4 linked regions of the Arabidopsis thaliana genome follow. The protein of the gene in region 1 interacts with the protein of each later gene in a pairwise test. Each region holds a gene or a part of one and is shown in the gene's direction. Other genes may lie near its edges. The genes, in order: HOS1, FLK, HDA9 and HDA05.

Evidence for each region.
Region 2: the proteins of HOS1 (region 1) and FLK interact in a two-hybrid assay, tested with the Arabidopsis thaliana proteins (one study listed by BioGRID).
Region 3: the proteins of HOS1 (region 1) and HDA9 interact in a two-hybrid assay, tested with the Arabidopsis thaliana proteins (one study listed by BioGRID).
Region 4: the proteins of HOS1 (region 1) and HDA05 interact in a two-hybrid assay, tested with the Arabidopsis thaliana proteins (one study listed by BioGRID).

What each region holds. Positions count from the first base shown.
Region 1 is NC_003071.7:16,610,797-16,618,652, forward strand, and holds HOS1 (ubiquitin-protein ligase), read left to right. Parts: upstream 1-1,980; 5' UTR 1,981-2,144; coding exon 2,145-2,234; intron 2,235-2,370; coding exon 2,371-2,761; intron 2,762-3,046; coding exon 3,047-3,181; intron 3,182-3,271; coding exon 3,272-3,447; intron 3,448-3,935; coding exon 3,936-4,337; intron 4,338-4,455; coding exon 4,456-4,614; intron 4,615-4,718; coding exon 4,719-5,210; intron 5,211-5,628; coding exon 5,629-5,766; intron 5,767-5,980; coding exon 5,981-6,618; intron 6,619-6,843; coding exon 6,844-7,006; 3' UTR 7,007-7,326; downstream 7,327-7,856. Other genes in the region: AT2G39805 (Integral membrane Yip1 family protein), read right to left, coding at 1-106, 437-605, 793-873, 973-1,030, 1,504-1,557; eIF6B (Translation initiation factor IF6), read left to right, coding at 7,663-7,672, 7,768-7,856. UniProt on the Arabidopsis thaliana protein: E3 ubiquitin-protein ligase that mediates ubiquitination and subsequent proteasomal degradation of the transcription factor ICE1. Acts as a negative regulator of cold signaling pathways.
Region 2 is NC_003074.8:1,250,045-1,256,628, reverse strand, and holds FLK (RNA-binding KH domain-containing protein), read left to right. Parts: upstream 1-1,644; 5' UTR 1,645-1,860; exon of another isoform or gene 1,861-2,346; 5' UTR 2,347-2,356; coding exon 2,357-3,055; intron 3,056-4,225; coding exon 4,226-4,472; intron 4,473-4,759; coding exon 4,760-4,908; intron 4,909-4,991; coding exon 4,992-5,264; intron 5,265-5,381; coding exon 5,382-5,579; intron 5,580-5,699; coding exon 5,700-5,867; 3' UTR 5,868-6,076; downstream 6,077-6,584. Other genes in the region: DAN1 (Alba DNA/RNA-binding protein), read left to right, coding at 1-60, 383-431, 526-588, 681-745, 823-969.
Region 3 is NC_003074.8:16,225,995-16,231,695, reverse strand, and holds HDA9 (histone deacetylase 9), read left to right. Parts: upstream 1-1,686; 5' UTR 1,687-1,943; coding exon 1,944-1,980; intron 1,981-2,623; coding exon 2,624-2,736; intron 2,737-2,857; coding exon 2,858-2,975; intron 2,976-3,048; coding exon 3,049-3,123; intron 3,124-3,197; coding exon 3,198-3,417; intron 3,418-3,503; coding exon 3,504-3,567; intron 3,568-3,656; coding exon 3,657-3,749; intron 3,750-3,832; coding exon 3,833-3,941; intron 3,942-4,048; coding exon 4,049-4,098; intron 4,099-4,192; coding exon 4,193-4,283; intron 4,284-4,360; coding exon 4,361-4,431; intron 4,432-4,525; coding exon 4,526-4,624; intron 4,625-4,703; coding exon 4,704-4,770; intron 4,771-4,853; coding exon 4,854-4,927; 3' UTR 4,928-5,177; downstream 5,178-5,701. Other genes in the region: AT3G44690 (uncharacterized protein), read left to right, coding at 1-1,011. UniProt on the Arabidopsis thaliana protein: Responsible for the deacetylation of lysine residues on the N-terminal part of the core histones (H2A, H2B, H3 and H4).
Region 4 is NC_003076.8:24,566,257-24,572,742, reverse strand, and holds HDA05 (histone deacetylase 5), read left to right. Parts: upstream 1-1,751; 5' UTR 1,752-1,825; coding exon 1,826-2,028; intron 2,029-2,524; coding exon 2,525-2,726; intron 2,727-2,836; coding exon 2,837-2,983; intron 2,984-3,082; coding exon 3,083-3,195; intron 3,196-3,329; coding exon 3,330-3,541; intron 3,542-3,617; coding exon 3,618-3,694; intron 3,695-3,847; coding exon 3,848-4,018; intron 4,019-4,143; coding exon 4,144-4,227; intron 4,228-4,443; coding exon 4,444-4,677; intron 4,678-4,766; coding exon 4,767-4,960; intron 4,961-5,064; coding exon 5,065-5,191; intron 5,192-5,275; coding exon 5,276-5,340; intron 5,341-5,440; coding exon 5,441-5,606; 3' UTR 5,607-5,960; downstream 5,961-6,486. Other genes in the region: HDA18 (histone deacetylase of the RPD3/HDA1 superfamily 18), read left to right, coding at 1-20, 99-163, 295-465, 610-1,446; AT5G61050 (histone deacetylase-related / HD-like protein), read left to right, coding at 6,128-6,331, 6,416-6,486. UniProt on the Arabidopsis thaliana protein: Responsible for the deacetylation of lysine residues on the N-terminal part of the core histones (H2A, H2B, H3 and H4).

The sequences.
Region 1 (7,856 bases):
CCAAGGAGCATTACTGTCGGTTCGTTTCTTCACGAGATATGTAGCACAATTTCCGAGAGAAGCAAGCACAAACACAAGCGTAGTGCAGATCCAGACAAGTCCATACCTAACAGAAGCACACACGAGTCATTAATCAAGAATAATTTGTGAAAGGCCTAGCTTTTAGCCAATCTTTAGAGGATAACATATTATGATGCTTTCTGTTCATTTGTCCAAGAGAAAATGAGGATATTTTAATCAATCGCCTGAAGTAACATAGGAGTAAATGAATAGCAAGATCATGCTTTCGGAAAGGTGCAGAAGATAACACTTAGAACGGTAACAAATTAACGGCATGACTGAGCAATGGACCGATTAAAGAAATTCGAAAGAACTCTCTCATGGTAAGTACAATCACCAAGAAGAGTGAAGGAGAAAAAGGCATTAAAAGACTTACAAATCAGGGTTTGCATCAATCTTGTTGAAAAAATCTCCACTAGTAGGATATAAAGAGCTCATTAATCTGTTCAAAACAACGTCCGTGTCCACGTCGAAGTATTGGGTATATGAGTAGACATTAAAAAAGCCCTTCCAGTTGTTTGATGGCTGTTGTGCTGGTCCTTCTACTGGAGCAGATAAGATATATCACCATATAAGACAGAACAAGGTGAAAACAAAGGTATATAGGATCTTGACATCCATAAGAAAAACGAGGTTGACTCACACAAGTATTCTTTCAACCATTGTACTGATTCATGGTGACTACAGATAAAAATATCTCCTAAAAAAGGAATCTAAAAGGAGCATATATACCTGTTGGGCTCTCAAGAGTTTGATAACCCTTTGTATTGTTTCCTAGATTCGGTGGAAATATTTGCATGCTTGCAGAAGGGCCTGCAATAATGCAGAAGACATACAACACTCAATGTCTTTCACTACCGGAAAAGTTCTTTGCAAAAGATAATTCAAGCAGAAACTAGCAAAAGAACACACCTTCATTGACGCTTGCTATTGGTACATTTGTGCTTCTCTTGTCGTCGCTGATCACAGCCTAAGAATACAGATGTTTGTATCAGACATAATAACACGGGGATAGTCAATCCATTCACTCAAAACATTTATCTTAGCGGATTCAATCCAAAATGAAGCTATCATGCAAGCATTTAAACTCAAATACAGTTTTGTTTTTCATACGAATTGTCTCCTAAAATGGTGAAAAAACTTAAATAAAACGCCTTAACAAATATAGAAACCCAGAAATGCAAATAAGGAAATCGTCCATTGTTCTATGAGTGTGAAGACTTTAGGCATCATCGTGGACGCGAAAAAATATGACAAAAAAATCTGAAAAGTTTCAAAATTCTACTTCCTAATGTAACACTTGAGACAGAACAACAAACAAAATGATGGCATGAACAAAAAACGTTAATTTTCCCTTCACACAAACAAGGATCATAGAAAAACTCAATCAAAGAGCTTATTGATGGTGAAATGAAAGAAGCAATAGATGTAATATAGACTTACCGGAACTGAACCAAGCAAATGGCTTGATTGTAGATTAGCGAACGACTCATCCATCGATCAAAGAGAAAAAGATATCAAAGAAAAACTTAGAAGATAGGTTCTTCTAATCTCATTCAAAAATCGATAAGATCGGAAAAAAGGTCGTCCCTTTTTCTGAATTTTTAAGGTTTCTGGGTTTGCTTCTCCTCCTCCGTCGTCGTGGAAGCAATTGGGAAAGGAAGAGAAACTAAAGAAAGAACGATCCACGCGCTTTCTTAGCAAGTCGGTAAAACACGCGCTGTTCACTTTCGGACACGTGATTTGCCGACTTGGGCCCAGACAATCACAAGATTCACACAAGACTTCAAAAACAAAGGCCCATATTTAAATTTTGACCCGAATCGTGATTTGCCGACTTGGGCCCAGACAATCACAAGATTCACACAAGACTTCAAAAAGAAAGGCCCATATTTAAAATTTGACCCGAATTAAACAATCCGACTTGACCCGTTTGAGGAGAAATTCACTCAACAGTGTTTCCTCTCTTCGTCTTCCCTCCCGAGAAAGCTCAACGGAGCCCTAGACTGGTTTTATCACTCTCGCCAACACCAACCACGCTTTTTCTCTCTTTACCTCCATTTTTGTATTCGTCACCGGAGTAGATGGATACGAGAGAAATCAACGGTTTTGCCTCCGCCGCGAGATCGATATCTCTTCCTACGCAGCCTAATTACAGTAGCAAGCCTGTTCAGGTTCTTCCGCTTTATACCTTTTTATTTCTCCACTGAATTAGTTTAGCTCAGGTCTTAGGATTTCTAGGTTCAGCTTAAAAAAATGGGTTTTGCAGAGCTTAGAGTTAATTTCGAATTTATTGTTTGTAACTTACAGGAGGCGTTGAAACATTTGGCATCTATAAACCTCAGAGAATTATGTAATGAGGCAAAAGTTGAGCGATGTCGTGCAACAAGAGACTTAGCTAGCTGTGGAAGATTTGTGAACTATGTGTTGAATCCATGTGGTCATGCCTCCTTGTGCACAGAGTGTTGTCAGAGGTGTGATGTTTGTCCTATCTGTAGAAGTACGCTACCAAAATTTGGAGATAGACTTAGGCTTCGTCTCTATTATGAGTGTGTTGAAGCTGGTTTGATTTCCCGAACACATGAAGAGGCGTCACAGGATTCGGATGAGGATGAACATCAATTGGCAGCTGATGTTCATCGCCTTTATTCTCTGTTTGATGTTGCTATGAACAATAATTTGATCTCGGTGGTTTGCCATTGTATCCTTCAGTTGCATTTATGCTTGGTGTCTGATATATGCATTTAGTCTTTTAGTTTCCTGTTTGATACTTTCATGAATTTCTTTTAGATTCGTATGCTTGTGCTATTAGGAACTGTGTTTATATGGGGAGTTTTGTACTGATAGGTTCATGTATTTTTAGGTAGTTCTTGTTTCATGCTTGTCTCTGTTGGGCGAAATGTGCATAGTGTTTTTGTCATTCATTCTCTAAGAGGTATTTTATGTTGGATGCATAGTTGACATCTCCTTGACAGAAAATTAATAGATATCACCAATGTCTGTATGGATGAGACAGCTGTATCTAGTGATCCGGTCATTGCTTTCTTGCTGGATGAAGTTGTTGTCAAGGATTGGGTCAAGCGTACATTCCGGAGCACCTTAGCTGAACTTCAAGAAATCTGTATCCTTTTAGCTGTTAATATTTTTATGTTTCTTAAGACTGTATATTTGTGCACCGTAAGGTCTGTCTATCTTTAATATTGGCCCTCAGATAATCTTGAAACAAAAGAGATGCAAGCGTGGTTAGATAAACTCCTAAGGTGTTCCAAACAGGTGGCTGGCATATGTAGTGTGCTCGAAGTTATGGAATCAGCTTTTAAGGGTTCTGTGTCACCTCAGCTTCAAGATGTGCAGACGCTGAGAGAGAACATTGGTAAAACAAAGCAGGTCAGCCATGATTTCATTTCATTGATATCCAAACAGTTTTGCAAAAGTATGCTTAAATAACTCTCTTTATCCCCCTTAGAAATATCCGTTGTACATTGAAGTTTCCTACGTGCATTAATGTTTAGTTTGCCTCTGTCATAGAATGAGTTACTTGTTTTGTATACGGCTTGCAGTAAAGTTTGTACTGTAAAAGCTTTGCATTTAGATGTATGAAAGGCACGATAATGGTCTTCCATCATCAGCTTGGATCTGATTTTCTATCCCTAGCTTTGTGACTTTATTCTTCTTTTCTTTTTTAATGTCATTGCATATTAGTGAATGTAGATGGGGTATATGTAACCTATCTTTATATGACATACTGAATAGTAAATGAGTATAACCTTATGGCTTCTGACCAGAGAGTGTTTTAAATAGATCAGCTCTTTAGCTATTGGTGCAAGATCACTGAGCTTACGTGTGCTTACCCTATTCTTTTTATTTTATTTCAGCATTTGGACATAATGGTCTGGTGCATCAGACATGGATTTCTGGATGATGTGAGGTCTCGATATTCGAATTTCACATCGTGGAATGCACTGGTAGGGGAAAGAAAATCAAATGCAGTTAAGCGTGCATGGCCTGATGCTGTAGACCAGTCTTCAGATTGCAGTGTACAGAGTGCTTCCCTCTTTATTGAGGATGCTTTAGAAAATCTTGAGAGAGAGCCAGAATACAGTCAGGAAATAGGTGCCGACCTAGAAGTTGGACGTTTACAGAAGGATAAGAGATCATTTCTTAGGTCCAAAATAGAGGGAACTTCAGGATCTTATCCATTTGAGAATCTTAGAACTGCTGCTGACATGCTCTTTTTACATGGCGGTTCAGATTTGGTTGTTGCGAAGCAAGCAATTGTATCCTTTTGTCATCGCCTAGTTTCACATTACATTGCACTTTACTTTTAATGAATACTTGAATCAGGAAACATTCCCATGTTTTTCCTTTACGCTGGTTTCCTTAACCAGAAGATAGTTTCTTTACTACCTGTTTGATCGGCATTGGACTACCCCTGAAAAATATTGGAAGCACACTATAGATGATTTTGCTGCTACGTTTGGCATAACGAGGCATTCATTGCTGGAGTCTTTTGTATTTTATCTTCTCGATGATCACTCAGAGGAGGCACTCCAGGTATCTTTTGGCATTCCCAAGGAAAACTTATAGAAACGTGTATTTTATTGTGCCATACATTTATTAATTGGTGTAGCTTACAAACTTTCCAAATTATATTTCAGGAAGCTTGTAGGATTCTACCTGAAATATGCGGTCCAGAAACCTACCCCAAAGTTGCGCAAGTCCTGTTAGAAAGGGATAACCCTGAAACAGCTCTTATGGTCTTGCGTTGGTCTGGTCGTGATGGTGTATCAGAATTGGTTTCAATTGGTGAAGCTGTCACAGCTCTTCGTGTGAGAGTGGAATGTGGTCTTTTGAGTGAAGCATTCACATACCAAAGGACACTCTGCTTGAAAGTAAAGGAAAATAATTTGAAAAATGGAGCTGTGAAACATGCGTCTGATGATCTAGACATCTGGAGTTGGACGGAATGGATGGAGATACTTGTCAATGAATTCTGCTGTCTTTCTATTCGGAGAAACTTGGTTGATCGAATCATTGAGTTACCGTGGAACCCAGATGAGGAGAAATATCTGCACAGATGCTTATTAGATTCGGCAACTGATGACCCCTCATCAGCTGTGGGTAGTCTCTTGGTTGTCTTTTATCTTCAGGTAAGTAATTATATTTTCAAACTTTAAATAACTTCACTTGAACAATGGGCTGAGAATTGTTTTTCAGAACGAGAATAGCTTTAGCAACAGGCAAATAGATATTTAGACAGCAGCTTAAACCTCCCGAGCTTTAAGCTACATATTGAAAATTTTAATAAGGGATCTCAATGATGGCTCTGTATAGAATTAGCTCATTCTATAGAGACTGGTATATGTTCTCGTATTTGATGTGTGGCTTCAACAATCTTTTATAATTCGAGCTTGGTGTAGTCTGGGATGTTGGTTAACAAGCATGAAATTATTTGAACAACCAGGGAAACTGCATCACTATAGACCATGCTTATTTTCTGGAAAGTTATTATCTTTTGTATATGGTCTTTCTTTGACTAGAAATTACTGGTTGTTCACATTGCTGCAGCGCTACCGTTACATCCAGGCATACCAAGTCGATCTTAGGCTTCAGAAAATCGAAGAGGCTTTCGTATCCGACAATCAAATTGGGGAAGAAGTTATGTTCAGAATGCGATCACAGAGTCATTGGAGAAAAGAGTTAGTTGTAAGTATTTCAGCCAACTTTCCATGTACAAGTGGATCCTTCCATAGTTCCTTGTTAAAGGCTACATCCTCACATTTGCGTTTTAGTGCTTAATAACCTGTTGATGCTTGCAGGATTGTCTAGTATTCTGAAACTTGAATGTACAATATTACTTGATACTGGCTTTTTTTAACTGGACATTTAAACCTCCCGTGTCTCTGCTCCTTTGAAACAGGATAGAGCCATAGATATACTTCCAGTAATTCAGCAGCAGCAAGTTAGATCTGGACAATTTTCTGAGATGGAAGATGCCTCTGAAGGAGCAAAAAAATCTGATCTTCCTGATGCACCTGACATGATTACTTCTTCAGTTCCCTTTGCCACTACTAATTCCGTTTTTCTCCAAAGTGCTAACAATGCCAGAGCTAGAGAGCCAGTGGCTAATAATGGCAGTCCTTTTCAACCTGGTCATATGATAGGAAACGCGTCCCATGATCTTTCACATGGAAGGTTATTTACAAACGCAAATAGAGGACAAAAGAGTGAAGTTAGAAGCGTAACCAAGAATCTGAAATTCGGTGAAATGTCAACTCCGTTCAAAGATCTAAATAGAGCTCGTGGGAACAGCCAGCTCCAAGGGAAAAGGACTGAAGAATCCTCTCCAGAAGTAAATGTTGATAGATACATAGAGAATAATATGAGCTCTCCTTATCTCCGCCGAATCACAGCTAACAATCCCGTGACAGTGAAATCTAGCAGCAACCATCTCAATGGATCTTCACAGAAACCGGAATCCACCTTTTTTGGCACAAGGATGCAACCAGACAAAGATAACTTTGTTGATTTGGATGATCCAATGGACATGTCTTCGAGGTATTCCTCTCTTCTTTATCTCTTAGCCATTTGTTCCTTTCTGAATCGTGCCATTAAAGTAGAGGACACTGGTATTGTTTGGTATAAAACTATTGTTACCGTTTGGTTTGAAAATAAAGTCCAGTTTGGTTTCAGTCTAAGGAACTTTGTTTGGTTCTTATGTCCACGGCTTTTAGTCTTATATTGGATGAGCTACATATCAATTGTGTGTATTATGAATTGCAGCTTAAAGGACAACAACAACAATGTCTTGGCCACGGAGAGCAGAAATAACAGTGGTGGATTGAGATGGCGGTCAGATGAAACAAGCGATGACGAAGATGAACTGACTAGTTTTGGTTCCATGCCGGTGAAGGGAAGGAGGAGACGTAGATTCGCAGCAAGATGAAATGAAACAAACACTCGAAAAGACCATCATCAATTATGTTTAAAGCATAGAGAAAGAGAGAGAGAGGTAGAGCAAGTTGTGTAAAGAGGGGAGAGAGACTGTTACAGTGAGCGTTGTTCTCCTGTTATTTTTTGTGCTGAATTTTGTGTATTTCTTCTCTAGTCTACCTTTTTTGGACAGTTATTTTAAAGATATCATTGTGATGAGCGGAGTGATATTATTATTATGAGTATGTTTAATTTCTTATATTGGTGCAGCTGATTGTTGAATCGTAGAAGTTATAACAACACATTGAGATTAAATCATTTTCTTTTTACATTCACAATTTCCTCTCAAAATTTTAATTTTTAACTTTTTTATTATTTACCAAAACTAATAAATGGAAATAAGTAGCATAAGCTTGTTCCAAGTTTCTGATATATAAATAGGGTTTTCGGAAGAGAGAATAGGGTCTCTTCCTATCGTTCCGTCACTTTTTGTTCCGATTTGTCGACAAGGTAAACCTTAAAACTAAATCTTTCAATATAGCATAACCAATGATCCGAAAACCTAAATCTTTCATTCTCTGTTTCTGCCTTGGATCTGTATTGAAATTCATAATCTCATATTAGGTTTTCGTGTTACTTAATTCCGCAGGTGTTTGTTGGATCCATATCATGGCGACTCGTGAGTTTCCCTTAAGCTTTAGCTTTTTATACGATGCTTTCTTTTCAAGTTGCTTACAGGATTGTTCTTTTTTTTTCTGTTCTTGTTTTTGGCAGGTCTTCAATATGATAACAATAATTGCGAAATTGGTGTCTTTTCCAAACTCACAAATGCTTATTGTCTCGTTTCCGCAACATCTGCCTCC
Region 2 (6,584 bases), on another chromosome or scaffold:
AACAGGATCCAAGTTTCCAACACCAAGAAGCCATTGTTCTTCTACGTTAATCTCGCCAAGGTAATGATCGGAAACCTAAATTCATCACCGGATCTACGGTTTTTCAGATCAACGAGTCTTCCTTTTTCTCAATTTTGACTGATTCTGTTTACTAGAGTTCGAGATTCGCTTGATTTTAAGATTGTAGATTCAGTTAACGAAACATCGTTTTAGTATCTTGAAACGAACAATCAGTATTCGCCTGGATTTTGTTTCCGATCTGTTTTTGGATACTTGTAGTATTGATTCAGGATCGATCTTTATCTATTTGATACTTTGTGTCCACCAAGTGTTTGATTGTATTACTTAGAGAGTAATTGGATCTTTTCGTTGTTTGATGCAGAGGTACATTCAGCAACACAACGAGGTCGAGCTTTCTGCACTTGGAATGGGTATATAGACTCTTTCTTTTACCTTTATCTTTTTTATTTGATCGGTTTCTCATCTTTTGCGTGTATATGTATATAATCATTAATGTGTGTATAGCAATCACAACTGTGGTAACAATCTCTGAGATCTTGAAGAACAATGGACTTGCAACAGAGAAGAGTGAGTCAGATCTCTCCCTTCTTACCATCAATCTTTGAACCTTTCGTTCTATTGAAGAAACTGTTTCATCTCTGGTCTGTGTTGAATTACAGAGGTGCTAACATCGACTGTGGGAATGAAAGATGAGACAAAAGGGAAGATGGTCCAGAAGGCAAAGGCGAGTTTCTTTTTTACTACTTCCTTATACCCTTTTGAAGTTTTATTTATCTCCTTTTGGGTTTGTTATTGTTGCAGATTGAGATAGTGTTGGGCAAGTCAGACAAGTTTGACTCTTTGGTGCCACCTGTGACCAACGGCAAGACTCCGGAGGAGGAAGCCAGTGCAGAGACGGAAGCTTCCGTGGAAGCACAAGAAGAAGTTGCCGCTGCCACCGAGGTCTAGGTTGGAGCCGGTTGAGAGATTTACTGCAGAAGGACTGATTTCTCTTTTACTATGTTTTGTTGGCTTTTGTTTCGTTTGTGACATATCGAACATAATACTCTAGATATGATAGTAATTGTTTGTTTAGCAACAAATAGTATTCTTCACTCTCTGCTTCCATTTAGGATCTTGAACAATATTGATATAAATATTTTTCTCTGATTTTTCTCAACTTTTTTAGTCTTTGTCCTTAAGGCAAAAATAAAGAAAAGAAGTTTTCAAATTAAAATTTGTTTCGTGGAAAGCACTCCCATTTGTGCTAAATAACTGAAGACCAAAACAATGTTGCAACCTTAGCACCAAATTTTTGTAGTTATTATTTGACGACTCTATAATATCAAAATCTTCTATAAGGTGTCCACTATCTGCAAAATCAATGCAATTTCTGTGAAATAACTAAGCTTACATAGTAAAGTCTAATGAGAATAGTATAATGTTAGCCTAAAAAAAAGCAAAGTTAAAAGAAAATTAAAACAGGTATAAATTGAACTAATAATAAATAAATTAATAAGAAAAAAATGTTTGTTCAATGACCTATCCCACTTCCAAATCAATAAAATAGATGTTAAAAAAAAAAGTTATGATAGGCCTTAAAGCAGATCACGGCCCATACGAATGTGACTTTGGATTATAAATATACGGGCTAGCTCAATTTGACAAAACTAGAAGCTGTTAAAATTAGAAGGACTAAAGTGTTAATAAAAGAAAAGTTCACTAGTTGTCGATCTCAACTTTAAGATAATTTTCACCCGCCTCCATTGTTACCGGAATCTCTCTCTTTCTCCGCCGAACTTCTTCGAATCAAGTTTCCGTTTATCACTCTAATATTGTTAAAGTTTCCACTGATACCACGTAATTTCACTGGGTTATCTTTAATCCTAAGTTTAAGCTTTTGGGGCTATAGTTCTTTCTTTTTCATTGTCAATTCTAGGGTTCCTCGCTGGGGTCTATATGTTCGCTGTGTTAATTTAGGGTTTTCACTAGTCCGAAAACGATATTTTCGTGTTTCATTAAGCTTATATTTTTCTTTACTAACTGCCTCTAGTTTATAGATGCTATTTTCTGCAGAATAAGCTTAGGCTAAGTTGATACCTCTTATATGAAGCAGCTATTAGGTGACCTAGAATAATTTGTTAGATTTTGAATTTTGAGCATATTATTGGCGAAGCTGTTACTTTATAGATGCAAATGTTTTAATTCTAGGCGTTATATTTCTTTCTAACACATGCTTTATAACAATAACTTGTTGAAGGAAGTGAAATCTTCAATGAAACTTTAACTGTTTGTATATGTATAACGGGACTAATGTGTGTTATCTGGACTCTGAATTTATGTCAGCGCTCTAGTCATGGCTGAAGCTGAAGATCAGCAAAATTTCGTTGCACACAATGGAGATCAGGTACCAGATCAAGGGTCAGATGAGTTGCATAATGGGTTACCGTACCAGGTTCATGATGAGACCCTTGTTCACCAACCATACGAGGTTGAAGATCCGATTCTTGAACCTCAGCAGTACGAGGTACCAGATCCGACTCTTGAACCACAGCAGTACGAGGTACCAGATCAGACTCTTGAACCTCAGCAGTACGAGGTTGATGATCAGTTAGAGTATCATCAATACCAGTTGCAGGACCAGGCTAATGAAGATGTCCAAGATCATTCGCAAGATGACCTACAATATCAGCCACAAAATCAGGAGCAGTTTCAGTTACAAGACGAGGCTCATGATCAGGCTCAGTATCAGGCGCAAGGTGATGTACAAGATCACAATGGTGATGAAGTGCAAGATAAAGTAGAAGATGAGGAAGGAATTCCTGAGCATCTTGAGTCTCTACAGAAATCAGAGCCTGAAGAAGATGCGACAGTTGGAGGTGAGGAGAAGAGGTGGCCGGGATGGCCCGGAGAGACGGTATTCCGTATGCTGGTTCCTGCACAGAAAGTGGGTAGCATCATTGGTCGCAAAGGTGATGTCATTAAGAAAATAGTTGAGGAGACAAGGGCTCGAATAAAGATTCTCGATGGTCCTCCAGGCACAACAGAAAGAGCTGTGAGTCTCTAAATCCTTTTTTCCCTTTCATGTTATATGAGTTGCAGCTAGTAGTCATATAATGCTCTTGAACTAAAACTAAAATCCTAGTGATAAGAAAACTAATATAGTAGAATACATACACTTTTTGGCTGTATAAGTCACTGATCTAAAGTTTTCAGGCACTAGCTTTTGTTAAAAATGTTAAAAAGCCATGAAATTTTAGTTAAGAGGCAACCCTTTTCATATTCTCCCCTTGACGTTAATAAATATATAAGTAAACGGATAGGAGGAAACTGAACATCCCTTTTAACTCAAAAAAGTTATGAACTTTGTCAGAAAAAGTGTTTTAATGGGGCTGAGTGATATGATCCTGAGCTGCTAAAAAACGTGTTGACGAATGTATAGTGCATCAAGCGAAACCATCTTAGTTAGTAATTATACCTATATGGAATATAGTAACCAGCAGGCCTGCTTATCATTTCCTTCAAGTGAAAGGAGGAAGTTAATCGGCGAAGTTGATAAGATGTGAGTAGGGTTCCCCTTTATTGCTGTGACCACCATGAATCTGTGCAGGTTTTATCTTGCAAGTTTTATGGCAACAATCATCGGTAAGGTCTCAAATATGAAGAACCAAAGCCAGATGGCAAGGATTCAGCCTTGAGCACTACATACACAGTGCTGATAAGTTTATCGAATAGGCAAGATTCTTCTTGTATAAACCTCAGTTCCATGAAGCTCTGCATTCTTTCTGGTAACTTCAGTACCTGGATGATTGATGTCTTGCTGCAGACTTTCTGTAGCATGCAAGGACCTGCTTAACCGGATGTAACAATATGTGGACGATGAGATTATGGTTTAGGCAACAATTAAGTAAAGAGAAATTTTATGTTTGCATGAAAAAGATTCTATGAAGAGGTTTTTTAAGTCTAGAAGGTTGGTAATGGCTGCTATGGCATCTTAAAAGGCGATAACCTAATCACCATGGGTAAAAACTTTAAATGAAGATTATAACAGGAAATAAACATCTAACTGGTCAAAGTGCATTTAAGTCTGTACCTCTTTGGAATTTTCTTTATGATTTGAGAAATATGGCACCAAAATAATAATTGGTATAGATCCTAAGATCGCTGTTTGTGAAATGCTTTAGTCATTTGGTAATGTTCTCTACTTGTTTCCTCTTTGTCGCAGGTTATGGTTTCTGGTAAAGAAGAGCCCGAATCATCTCTACCACCTTCTATGGATGGCCTTCTTAGAGTCCACATGCGGATAGTTGATGGTTTGGATGGTGAAGCTTCTCAAGCCCCTCCGCCTTCAAAGGTGTCAACAAGATTACTAGTCCCAGCATCTCAGGCTGGAAGTTTGATTGGAAAACAGGGAGGAACAGTTAAAGCTATTCAAGAAGCATCCGCTTGTATAGTCAGAGTTCTTGGATCAGGTTCCTTCTCTTCACAATTTACATGCTGAAAAAATTCTTTCTTGCTTTGTGTTTTTGGTTTCAGTTGTGCTATGGACTATTCCCTATTTTCCCCATATTTGTAGAGATAAAGGCCACTATAAGTTTCTATGTTATCTTCATCTGCAAGATTTGCTGAACCATTCAACATCAAATGTTCAGATTGGCTTAGATTCTGAAATAACTTCAACTTTGTTTTGGTGTTTGTTTCGTTTATTCCTTATCCATTGGTAGTTCTAACTGAAATTTGTTATGGTGGAGTTTTGCAGAGGATTTACCTGTTTTTGCTCTTCAAGACGATAGGGTTGTTGAAGTTGTGGGGGAACCAACAAGTGTTCATAGAGCCTTGGAGCTGATTGCGTCACATCTCAGAAAGTTCTTGGTTGATCGTAGCATCATCCCATTCTTTGAAAATCAGGTTATCTTTTGTTCCGTTGTATGTTTAAAAATGTTTCTCATTTGTCTCTATTAACGTTTTTCTTTACTCTGCGTTTTAAACAGATGCAAAAGCCAACTCGCCAAATGGACCATATGCCACCACCACACCAGTCATGGGGTCCTCCTCAAGGTCATGCCCCAAGTGTTGGTGGAGGAGGCTATGGTCACAACCCACCTCCATATATGCAACCACCTCCTAGACATGATAGTTACTATCCTCCTCCTGAGATGCGTCAACCTCCAATGGAGAAACAGCCTCATCAAGGTATATCTGCATATGGTAGAGAGCCTCCTATGAATGTGCACGTATCATCAGCCCCACCAATGGTCGCTCAGGTATTCCGCCAATCTCTGCAACATGTTATGAAGTTGACTGTTCAATCTACTGCAATTTATGTATGTAAAGTAAATCAATGAAAATCTGAGTGGTGTGGGGATTTGTTTGTTTTGCAGCAAGTTACGCAGCAAATGCAGATTCCACTGTCTTATGCTGATGCTGTAATTGGGACGTCGGGTTCAAACATAAGCTACACTAGACGTCTTAGTGGAGCAACAGTAACTATTCAGGAGACCAGGGGAGTACCTGGTGAAATGACTGTTGAGGTTAGCGGAACTGGCTCACAAGTCCAAACTGCCGTGCAGCTTATTCAGGTACCCCTATATTCTCACACCAGATTTCTTAACCATTGTAACCTTTAAACCCTCAAAACCGAGGCAGAAGCTAGTGTTTTTTTATGATGAAATCTGACTGTTGATTGTGTTTTATGACAGAACTTCATGGCTGAAGCTGGAGCGCCGGCACCAGCACAGCCTCAAACTGTAGCACCAGAGCAGCAAGGCTATAACCCATACGCAACACACGGCTCAGTTTACGCAGCGGCTCCAACAAACCCGCCTGGAGGATACGCTACGGATTACAGCTCAGGCTACGGTTACTGATGAAAGATTTTAAGTTTCTTTAGAATGTTTTACTAGTAGTTGCAAGCAAGAGTGGAAACGCTAGATGCCTAATCGAGTATATGTTGTTATTAGCGAGCACTCTGTGTACTGACAATCAATTATTATATCACTTGTTTTGAGACTTCTTCATTTGTGTACTATTCATAACATTGATCTAACCGGAAATCTTCTTTATATTCAAAAAAAGTAAAAAAAAAAAAAATGTATGGTTCATTATCGTGTCCTTCACGATTTTCTCATCCCTTTTTAAGAGAGATTATTAGTCTATGGTAAATCATTGTTTCATAATTTGGTGCTTGAATGAATTTCTGTGTGGGAATTGTTATATGAATCAAAATATAAGTTAAAAAAAGTATAATCACATAATACTTTGTGAATTTCAAACCTAAATAAAATACATTCCAAATGGGAAATTAAATGTGATCTCAGGAATAAAAAGAAAAAGCGTTGCTGCTTAACTGCTCGAGCTGAGCATATAAAATAAGGAAGGAAAGGATTCAACAAACAGGCAATGTAATGTTGTTCTCTAGGTAGTTGCCTGAAATCTAGCAATTGATCAAGAAAGATCGAATTTTATACTACACTGAGCAGAGTTTACCCCTGCGGTTTTTGCTTCTTTTCCGATAACTCACTGGAGTCTGCGGTTTTGTTTCTGTCAGAGAAGTCCACACAAATCAGATCTGTGAATACAATGAA
Region 3 (5,701 bases), on another chromosome or scaffold:
GCATATCTGCATTACGAAAGCCAACAACTTAAGAAAGATCATGACTATGGCATTGATGACAGGATATATCGTGATGTCAACTCGTCAGATATTATAGTAGACCATGGAGATGCCAAGGCGCTAGAGCTTAGGAGAGTAGCCTTCATTGATAGAAATGAAGCGTATTTGGATAATGAAAGCAAGGATGTTTATCAGCATTACAATAAACAACAACTGAAGTACTACGACTCTGGCATTGATGAGAGGATGTATCCTGCTGTCACCAAAGCAGAGATTGTGGACCGAGGAGGTGCTAGAGCTCTAGAGCGTAAAGGAATGTCCTCGAATGACGGAAGGGAAGCCTATTTGCCCTATGAAAGCCAGCAACTCCTAAGAGATCATGAAATTGATTCGTATGGGGTGATGCATCCTGATGTCAGTAGATCATCAGCTGGCAAGCAAGATGAGGAAGCTCTTCGAGGCAGGAGATATCTTTTTGATGACCGAGATCAAGTCTACTTGGATGATGAGCGTTTGCAACGACGTAATGGTGGTGATGTTAAAGTTTATGCCAATATGAGATATCAAGATGGTAGACAAGAGGTTTATCATTCGAATGATTCAATTTTGCGTACAAGAGATGATTATGGTCTTAGAGACAACGCAAGTGAGGTTATGCATGAGAATATGCCTTATGATTACAACTACAGGGATGCTAAGCAATCAAGAATGTCTTATGAGAAGGCAGATAGTAAAAGGTTCCGTGAACATGAAGTAGCATATGATTACAGAGACAAGCTAGGGAACTATGCAGTGGATGGAGGAATAAGCAGAGAACAATTCCGATACTCAGCTGATGAAAGGAATTCTGGTAATGTTGATCACACATCAACTCGACGCCGTCGATTATCTGCAAAGGAGCGGTTAGGTGGGCGTGTTGAAGAAGATTCACGTGTTCATGTGAAACATAGACTGCATCAGGTTAGAAACCCAAACCTAAAAGGTAAGTCCCATAAGAGGTACCTCTCCTGAGGTCATCATTTCTCTCAACATTGTTGATTCCTCCAAACAAGATTGAGAGAGAAAAGCTCCTAGGTTTTCAAAGGATGGGTGTGAAAACGAAGGATCCTAAAGTTGTAATCTCGGCTCTTTTTTGGTCTGAAAAAGGTTAGAAACAGATTCAAGGATTGAAGTTTTTTGGCAATGGAGGATATTATCTTGGTTAGTAGATATGCTTTCTTTTGGCGTTGAACTTGACTTTAAAATGTTGAGATTTTTGTCTGTCTTTTAGATTGTTTGGTCGGTGGTTTGTATCGACCTATCAATCAAGTAGACAGTGGTTACGAGACGTTGGTCTTTTTTGGTCTCTGGTAGTGACATTGACATCGGAGATCAACAAGTAAATAACTCAACAAGTTTATATAATCTAACAACTTCTTACTATTATAATCTCGAAATTGGTTTTCTTTCTCATTTTGATTGTGATCATTCCTTGGTCGAATTTGATTCAGTTTACATGTTTTGAAATTGAAGATGTATACTAAACCAGACAAGAGAAAGAAGAAGATATAACTAAATCGATTGATTTATATACACAGTATCAAATTCAATTTCGATTCGGTTCAAATGATGGAAAGCTACCGGTCTGGTATTATAAAACCATGAGTCAAAACCGCTTTTTATCAAATACACTTTAAATGACGTCATCTGTCATGTCATCAGAACACTAAAACGACATCGTTTCACTTTTGACTCTCCCCTTGTTCTTCTCTTCTCTCTTCTTCTTTTCGCTTCGTTGCTGCTCTCTTCTCGGCTCCGCCGGAGAATCGTGAAATCTCTGCGACTTCATCAATGAAGAAATCGTCTCATCTCTCTACTGAATCTAAGCAGACCTGAAATATCTCTGTATAATCTTTCTTTAAGATTGATTTCGTACGATCTTCGTGTCTTTTCTTCTTTAAGAGATGCGTTCCAAGGACAAAATCTCTTACTTTTATGATGGTATATTCATTTCTTTCCCTTTTCTTCTTTATTTATGGTAAAGAAACTCCAAAATCCTTGAGATTGATGTAACTCTTGAGCAAGTTTTATCCACTTGAACCGCACTAGTTTTTGTCTTTATTGCTCAATCGATGCATCGAAAGGTGAAATCTTTCATATCTATAGTCTAGAATAAGTAAAGGGTTACGATTAGTTTGGAAATACTCCAGAATTGAGTAGGGTTTTTGATGAAAAGAACAAGGGTTTTAGGTGAAGTTTCTGATTTTTTCGATTCTTTGGCCTGAGTTTAAGCTTAAGATAGAAGCCTTCTTGTGGTGAAGACGACTCTAGTACCTGTGAAGTTGACTTCTTTGATTGGTTTGGTCAAGTCTTTGTTATTTCTTTGCTAAAATATGAAACCCTAGAACTTTTGTTAAATTTGGCATTGCATATAATGTTTGAAATTGTGTTCTTTCGAGATTCCTCTCTGAGAAACTTTTATAGACTTGATAGTTATATAACTTTCATTTTCGTACTTCAGATTTTCTGCATGATTCAAACTCTGATGCGAGTTTCAGATTATATTCTTGTTGATGATTGGAGCCTTTGAGGCAGTTTATATGAGATTGTGATGTTATGCTGAATGTTTTTTTTTGGGTTGCAGGGGATGTGGGGAGTGTCTATTTTGGTCCGAATCACCCGATGAAACCTCACAGGCTTTGTATGACCCATCATCTTATCCTTGCATATGGCCTGCATAGCAAGATGGAAGTTTATGTTAGTGTCTCTTGCTCATCATATATGTTTCTTGTTTTTGTTCTTGATCCTTTTATTCTTTTTGTTTATGATATCACGGTACATCTCGATTGAAATCTGTATATGTTCTCTATTGTTTCAGCGTCCACACAAAGCATATCCTATCGAGATGGCTCAGTTCCATTCTCCTGACTATGTAGAGTTCCTGCAACGAATTAATCCAGAAAACCAGAACTTGTTCCCCAATGAAATGGCTAGATGTAAGTTTTGTGTCTTCATTAATTTGTTTTTGTAATCTACATGTTAAGCTGAAATTAAGTTACTGTGTTGCAGATAATCTGGGAGAGGATTGTCCTGTCTTTGAAGATTTGTTTGAATTTTGTCAACTTTACGCCGGCGGAACCATAGGTAAATATACACAGTTGGTATTCATGTTTGCTTGTCACTTTAGAGAAACGACTGACCGAGAATTTTGTCTATAGATGCTGCACGCAGGTTAAACAACAAACTCTGTGACATTGCTATAAATTGGGCGGGCGGGTTGCACCATGCCAAAAAATGTGATGCATCTGGGTTTTGCTACATCAACGATCTCGTGCTAGGAATTCTTGAGTTGTTAAAACACCATCCCCGTGTTCTATACATAGATATAGATGTTCATCATGGTGATGGGGTTGAAGAAGCGTTTTACTTCACTGACAGGTACAGTTACAAATCCATAACACTACTTCTCGAAAGCTGTTACTATAGAAACTGATTGCCAATATCTTTAAATTTTGTGGTGGTAGAGTAATGACTGTTAGCTTTCATAAGTTTGGGGATAAGTTCTTTCCAGGGACAGGCGATGTTAAGGTAATATTCAGAATTCATTTTCCTGATTTGTGAGGACGGTTTCAATGTGTTTGGTTGAATTGTCATTGTGATGTTTTTTCTTTAAAAAGGAAATAGGAGAAAGAGAAGGGAAATTTTACGCCATTAATGTGCCGCTGAAGGATGGTATCGATGACAGTAGTTTCAACCGTCTTTTCAGGACTGTAAGTTCTTTAACTAAAAACAATGAAAAATTCTCGATGCGTTCACCGTTTATTTGTGTTTCATCATTTCCTTTGATCTCTAGATAATATCCAAGGTTGTTGAGATATATCAACCGGGTGCAATTGTTCTTCAATGCGGGGCAGATTCACTAGCCAGGGATCGACTAGGATGCTTTAATCTCTCTATTGATGGTGCTTTTTCTTCTTGTAATCAAAATCTCTTTCTCTCTTTCAATCTCCCGTTTGCTAATTTCTTTGCGAATCGGGTTTTGAAATGGCTTTCTCTATGCATTTCACAGGACATGCTGAATGTGTTAAATTCGTGAAGAAGTTCAATCTTCCCTTACTGGTATCTAATCTCTCAACTTATATATATGTATGACGCGTTTCTGTAATCTTAAGTTCATTGATGACGAAGTCAGTTCTTTCTGATTGTTTATTAGGTTACAGGAGGTGGAGGATACACAAAGGAGAATGTAGCTCGTTGTTGGACCGTTGAGACTGGCATTCTTTTGGACACAGAACTTCCTAATGGTTAGGTTTTCAATATTTGTTAGAGAAAGTTTAATGTTTGCGGTCTTTGGGGGCTCAGGGGTTAGTTGTTTCTGCAGAGATTCCTGAAAACGACTACATAAAGTATTTTGCGCCGGATTTTTCTTTGAAGATACCGGGTGGTCACATTGTAAGGAGCTCTTATGTAACTTATAGTTCCTCATTGCTTTAACAAAATCTAAAGAGAGATTGAGAATCATTTTGTGTGTTTGAAATGAAAACAGGAGAATCTTAATACCAAATCGTACATCAGTTCCATCAAAGTGCAGATTTTGGAGAATTTGCGATACATTCAACACGCTCCAAGCGTACAAATGCAGGAGGTAAACTCAGATCATCATAGGACAAATTGATGCTTTTATCAATCTAACACTGATCAGTTTTTTTACTTGAATCTCTTAGGTTCCACCGGATTTCTACATACCGGATTTTGATGAAGACGAACAAAACCCGGATGTACGTGCGGATCGTAAGTATCGATAACCACCTTCAAGGCTCTACTTTAGTCCCTTTGTTTTCTTAGTGACTAATGTTCTATATGGAATGTTTCAGAGCGTTCACGGGATAAGCAGATCCAGAGGGATGATGAATATTTCGATGGAGACAACGATAACGATGCGTCATAAAACATCGATTCTTAGAAATTGTTGGTTAATTTTTTTGTTTAGTTATGAGATTTGTAATGATATCAACACTTTAACGGCTACTGGGGCACCAAAACCACTTCTGATTGATTCCATCTTCTTCATGTTTTCGTCTTGGTGTATATGAATGAAGCTTTTTGGTTCACTTTCTCATCATTGTGACTTATATAGTGATCAAATTCGTTATATATTGTACAGTACAATTTGCACTTGATCAAATTCAATTTTATTTTTAGGCAGCCTTGTTAGTAAAAAACACTAAAGATTAATAGAAAAAATAGATTTAAAAACGCTAGTGAGAAATACACAGAGAATTATTAAGACTAAACAGAAATACATTTGAAAAGCAAAATTCAGTGATAATTAACAAAATCTGAGAAAGAACAGAAAAAAAAGATCAAGGATTTGATTTTTCTTGATCAAAATTTGCATCAGAGTCATGGAAGTTTTTGATTGCCAACACTGCTCAATTGAGCTTCTTTTATCAATGGTGATTTAACTCATCATTTGCAATCAGATGGATGTATATGTATATATATAAATCGAGCAACTTAAGACTCGATGTTAAATAAAAAAACATTAGAAAGAATATACAACGAAAACACAAATGAATAAAGAAACAGAGAAAATAAAAACTCATTAGAAAGAATGTAAAACGAAAACATAAATGAATAAAGAAACAGAGAAAATGATAAGCAATGGGGAGACTGAAAATAATTGTTTTCCTGGTGCAGAGGTATTTATTGGGGGCTGCGA
Region 4 (6,486 bases), on another chromosome or scaffold:
TTCAGCTGGATTTGATGCAGGTTTGTATGGTCTAACCATTTGTTTCAAGGCTTTGTGACGGTAAGCTGTGTGTAATCTTTTCAACTTCTTCTTAACAGCTATTGGTGATCCGCTTGGGGGTTGTTGTGTTACCCCATATGGATATTCAGTTATGTTGAAGAAGGTTGGTGTTGAAGTGAACTGCCTCTTTTCTCCATTGTTTCTATTATGCGTACCATGGCTTCTCTACCATTGAAAATAACAAAGCTACATAATTTTACTTGGATATGACATCATTTAATTGGTTTCTCTCAGCTGATGGAGTTTGCACATGGAAAGATAGTGCTGGCATTAGAGGGAGGATACAATCTTGAGTCATTGGGAAAGTCTTCACTCGCATGTGTCCAAGTTTTGCTTGAAGACAAACAAATTCATGGTTCATCTGAAACATACCCATTAGAATCTACACGGCGTGTCATACAAGCGGTATGGCTCTATATAACCCTAACAGTCTGAAATTTTGTATGAATTGGCTACGATTTCTCTTTTCAGCTCAGTTCTTGTGTCATAAATATTGTATATCGCCTATGTTACTAATTGACAAAGCTCATCTGTTTCTTGTGGGTTTAGGTACGCGAGAGACTATGCACATATTGGCCTTCACTTGACGCGTCAATGGCGTCTAATGAGAATTTAAAGAACCCAAGTGCAGAAAGAAACTCCGCTGACGCCCTCCTTCGTGAAGTGGAAGAGTTAAAGTCTCTAATGGCTGCCCGAGATGGAGAACTGGAGGCAAGGAGAAAAGAGTTAAAGGCCAAAAATAAGGAGCTAGAAGCGAACGAGAAGGAGCTAGAAGCGGGACTAATGTTGATTCGCGCTCGGGAGGATGTAATCTGTGGTCTTCATGCAAAAATAGAGAGTTTGCAGCAGGAGCGAGATGAGGCGGTAGCGAAAGCTGAACGCATAGATAAGGAACTCCAAGAGGATAGGGCAAGAAGCCAGGAGTTCAAAGAAGACACAGAGTTTTGCTTGAGTACGTTAAGGAGGGAGAAGGAGCTTGCCATCATGGCCAAAAATAAGGACCTAGAAGCGAAAGAGAAGGAGCTAGAAGCGCGGCTAATGTTGGTTCACGCTCGGGAGGATAAAATTCATGCCAAAATAGAGAGGTTGCAGCAGGAGCGAGATGAGGCCGTAGCAAAAGCTGAACGCATAGATAAGGAACTCCAAGAGGATAGGTCAAGAAGCCGAGTTGGGAATGGATCTTTTGCCTTTTCTCAGGAGTTCTATGAAGACATGGACTTAGACGAGCTCGAACCTCTGTCTCCGGAGTTCAATGAAGACATGGACTCGGAAGAGCTTGAACCGTTTCAGGTCATCAAGAAAAACATGGAGCGTTCCCACAAGAAGTTCATAAAAGATATGGAGTGTATCAAGTTTATCGCCAGTGAGAGAGCCAGGGTACTTTAGGTTGGGAGCTTGAGGCCGTAGCAGAAGACTACCACAAGTTTCGCGAGATGGTTGATAAGCTCGGGAAGAGCAACATATACCCTTCTTAGAAAGTACAATGGTGTTTCATTGTAACCACAGAACCTTTTTGTGATTGTAAACCAACTGTGTCGTGTCAGACTTTGATTGGTTGCGATACTTGGTTTCCCAATTTCCCTCCAAAGAATCTCCAAATTGGTCAAACTCTCAAACCTAAAAAAAAAAAAGGAGAGAATGAAAAAAAGAAAGAATTGAAAAGTAAAAAATACTTGGAAGCTTTAGAAGCTGAGAGCAAAGACTTGACCTTTTTCACTTCCTTCTCACTGATCGTCGAACAATAAGGCCGTCGCATCTCCCAGTTATGGCTATGGCCGGAGAATCTTCCGGCAAAAAAATTGGAGACTGTGACGGTAAAGTCGCGGGGAACAGACAGCGAAAGGTGGGTCTTATTTACGACGAGACGATGTGCAAACACGACACACCTGACGGCGAGGATCACCCTGAGTGTCCCGACCGCATCAGAGTTATCTGGGAGAAGCTTCAGCTCGCCGGAGTTTCTCAAAGGTTCATACTTTCTCTCTTCTTCGTGCGGCTTTGTTGTTTGTTTGATAATATAAGCCCTAGAAAATGCTCAAATTTAGTCAAATTGGGTACTTTCTGATCCTGTCAGCTGAGAAACTGGTCTCAATTTGTTCTTCCTTGTTCGGTATGAAATTTACTTTTCTCAATTTGAATTGTGCATTTCATAGAATCAAAAGGTTTGTATGCTGCTCAATTTTAACGGTAACCCTTCATAAATTTGCTACCTTTTCGTTATGTTCGGTCTTGTGTTCGAGTTATTTCCTCCATGTCTGTTTTATAACCCTCTCTGATATCAATTTTATATTTTTCATATTTGTTTGAATTTCACTCATAACATTATTAATTAGAGTAATGTGGCAGCACATTAGTTAGGGAAGGTGGAATCTAGTCTTTGAGGTGTGTATCCATCACGATTTGTTTTTCGATTCGGATGAATTGGCCTGCTATGTATTGACGATCTTGGTCTTTTCTTTTGCAGATGTGTGGTTCTTGGTAGTAGCAAAGCAGAAGATAAGCATCTCCAATTGGTTCACACAAAGGACCATGTTAATTTAGTTAAGAGTATTAGCACAAAACAGAAAGATTATCGGAGAAACAGGATTGCTTCACAGTTGAATTCGATTTATCTGAATGGAGGTTCATCTGAAGCCGCATATCTTGCAGCTGGTTCTGTTGTAAAGGTAATAATACTAGTTGATTTGTTTCTTTTTACAATAGGAGGATACATTAGAAACTGTTAGAATGATTTGATTGAATATGGGGTAACAACATTTTTCTTTCAACTTGACAGTTGGCAGAAAAAGTTGCAGAAGGAGAGTTAGATTGTGGTTTTGCTATTGTCAGGCCCCCAGGGCACCATGCTGAGGCAGATGAAGCCATGGGTTTTTGTTTATTCAACAATGTTGCCGTTGCTGCTAGTTTTTTACTAAACGAAAGAGTAAGGACTTGTACTGTTTGCTTTTAATTACTGTCAAATTCTTTGGTCACATTCCTTTGGAGTGCGTGTTCCCAACTTCTTTGCTTTTCCTGAATGCAGCCGGATCTAGGGGTCAAGAAAATTCTGATCGTTGATTGGGATGTCCATCACGGAAATGGTACCCAGAAGATGTTTTGGAAAGATCCTCGTGTACTATTTTTCTCTGTTCATAGGTATGTAATTGTGACCATTGTTTACTCTTCTTATGATGTCGCTTGTCATGATTTAAGGAGCCTACTTTTTACTCTATTACCCCTTTGCTTGATTTTTACGCTTGGAAAGTAACTGGAAATGCATTTTTGGTTAGGCATGAGTATGGGGGTTTCTATCCAGCGGGTGATGATGGCGATTATAACATGGTTGGGGAAGGTCCAGGTGAAGGGTTTAACATAAATGTTCCATGGGATCAAGGACGATGTGGAGATGCAGATTATCTTGCTGCATGGGACCATATCTTGATTCCTGTGGCGAGGGAATTTAACCCGGATGTTATTTTTCTTTCAGCTGGATTTGATGCAGGTAAACATGGTTTAAGCATTTTTTTAAGCTATGTCTTGTTCAGAGGTGTGTAACCTTTTCAAACTCCTCTTAACAGCTATTAATGATCCGCTAGGGGGTTGTTGTGTGACCCCATATGGATATTCAGTTATGTTGAAGAAGGTTGGTGTTGAAGTGAACTCCCTCTTTTGTCCATCATTTGTATTTGCGCTCCAGGGGTCTCCATCATTGAAAATAGCACTTCTTGCTTTAGCTGGTTGTTTGTCCCTGAGCTAAATAATAGAAACTTGCATTTAATATCATTCTGTTTCTCCAATGTTCTCTCAGCTGATGGAGTTTGCACAAGGAAAGATAGTGCTGGCGTTAGAGGGAGGGTACAATCTTGACTCAATTGCAAAGTCTTCACTTGCATGTGTCCAAGTTTTGCTTGAAGACAAACAAATTCAAGGACCTCCGGAAGCATACCCATTCGAGTCGACATGGCGTGTCATACAAGCGGTATGGCTCTATATCATCCTATCTTTTAACTTTCTTATTTCACAATCTGAAACAACCTTCCATAAATGGGCTGTAGTCCTCATGTTACTAGTTGACCAAAACTCATCTGTTTCTTGTGGGTTTAGGTGCGCAAGAGGCTATGCACATATTGGCCTTCACTTGCAGATGAATTATCGTGGAAGCTAATTAATCAGAAAACTCCTACTCCAGTTGAGCACCCTTCTTTTTGTCTACCATTTCAGTTGTTCATTGTTCATCAGAGAGCGTTTCCTTGCCAGATCGGATTTAGAAAAACCTCACTATTTTTAGCAACCACTTCTTAACTTCTTTGTCTCTATACAAATTTTCCTTTGCTTGATCTTCTTTTTAGGCGACAGACTCGGTATTTCTTATCACATAATTTCTTTCTTATTTGTTCACTATAGATCATCCTTATCTCAAGCTCCGACTCTGAAACTGAAGACAACGCCCAAGGACTCCTGGATCAAATGTCGAAACTCAGCATTGAAAACCCTCAAGGTACACTACTTGAAAACCACCAAGTAGAACCTGCATCTACATCTTGGAGAGCTGATCTCGCAAAGGTTGACGTTTGGTATGCCTCTTTTGGATCCAACATGTGGAAACCAAGGTTTCTTTGCTATATTCAAGGGGGACAGGTAAGTAACCTGTTTTGTTTTGTTTTCGGGGTCGAGTCTGGGCTTTGGTCTAACTTGACACATCTATGGCTGTTTGTGTTTATTTTTAGGTCGATGGATTGAAAAAGGTATGTGTTGGCTCAATGGATAAAAGTCCACCAAAGGAAACAGTGTGGGAAACATTTCCACATAGATTGTTCTTTGGCCGTGAATCTTCAGTTGGTTGGGGTGTAGGAGGAGTTGCTTTCACCAACCCCCTTGCTAATCTCATTGATCAAACTCACATGTGTTTGTACCGTATCACGTTAAGTGTACCACTCTTCATCGCAGTTTCCGTTCACTTTCCCTATTTTATTCATTTGGTGATCTTCTCTACTTATTCACTATGGATGTTATTTTTGTGAACAGGCTTGAGCAGTTCAATGACGTTCTGTCTCAAGAAAATGGTTTGAATGTGGATTCAGATTCTCCGGTCTTTGATCTAGCTGCTTTGCAGTTAGTAGATAACAAAGGATCCATTTTAGAAGCTCCTTTGGTTAGTCAGATAACAAATGTTGATTGATACGCTTATAAAACATGTAATAATCACACTTATACTCGTTTATTGACATTTTTACAGAATAGTTGGTATGGAAATGTTGTCTGCTTGGGAAAAGAACGCGACATTCCTATACTTACAATGACGTAAGTTTTCATCATTCTTTTTCTTTTGCTGCTCATAAACCGAGTTAAACAGCTTTCATTTTTTTTTTCCTGAGGTTTCTCAATAACTTTGTGTTTGCAGTTGCACGCTTTCCGCTGTTGAGAAATTCAAATCCGGTGAGATCCCTATAAGACCTCCTGCAAAAGCTTATGCCAACACTTTAATAAGGGGACTTGTGGAAGGAGGAAGATTATCTAAAGAAGAAGCTGAGGCTTACATAGACAAGGCTGTGTCTAAACCTCTCTAGTGTATAATTATTTACTCAGAAACCGCCCGTTTGAACACGATTTGGAGCTTCGGGTTTCTGAGTTATTCAATTAGGATAAAAACCACAAGTTTAGGAATATTGTGAGACCTTTGAATTTGTCTTTTGAAAGAGAGGACTGTGTCCTCTGTTAGCTGTGTTGTGCTTGCTCCCTAAGCAAACTCTCAATGTATTTTAGTTATCTTCGGGTTTTAGGCTTTACCAAGAAGCTGTATTCGGTAAATGTATTAAAGAACCCTCCAAACTGCTTTATATTGACCGGAGAGAAACATTCTTATTCTTCGGAATGGTACTTTGAAGTTTGAAGAGTTATTTTAAAAAAAGATTTAACAGCACTGTGAAGAGTTCTGGTCAAACAAACCTATTTAAAAAAAAGAGATTGGAAAACATGTATAAATAAAAATTGAAACGTAAAAATACTTTGAAGCTTCAGAAGCAAAGATTGGACCATTTCTCTTTTTTCTCCCTGCTCGTCGAACGATAGACTCTCTCATCTCCCGCATATGGCCATGGCCGACAAAAAATATGGAAACTGTGACGGTAAAGTCGCCGGGAAAAGCCAGCAAGGTACACTAGTTGAAAAGGAGCAAGTAGATACCGCTTCTACATCCTGGAGAATTGATCTCGCAAAGGTTGACGTTTGGTATGCCTCTTACGGATCCAACATGTGGAAACCGAGGTTTATTTGCTATATTCAAGGGGGACAAGTAAGTAGCCTTGTTTCGTTTCTTTTTGGAGTCTGAGCTTGTGTCTTAATTGACACATCTATGGCTGTTTGTGTTTATTTTCAGGCCGAGGGAATGATAAAAGCATGTGTCGGTTCAATGGACAAAAGTCCACCAAAGGAAATAATGTGGAAAAC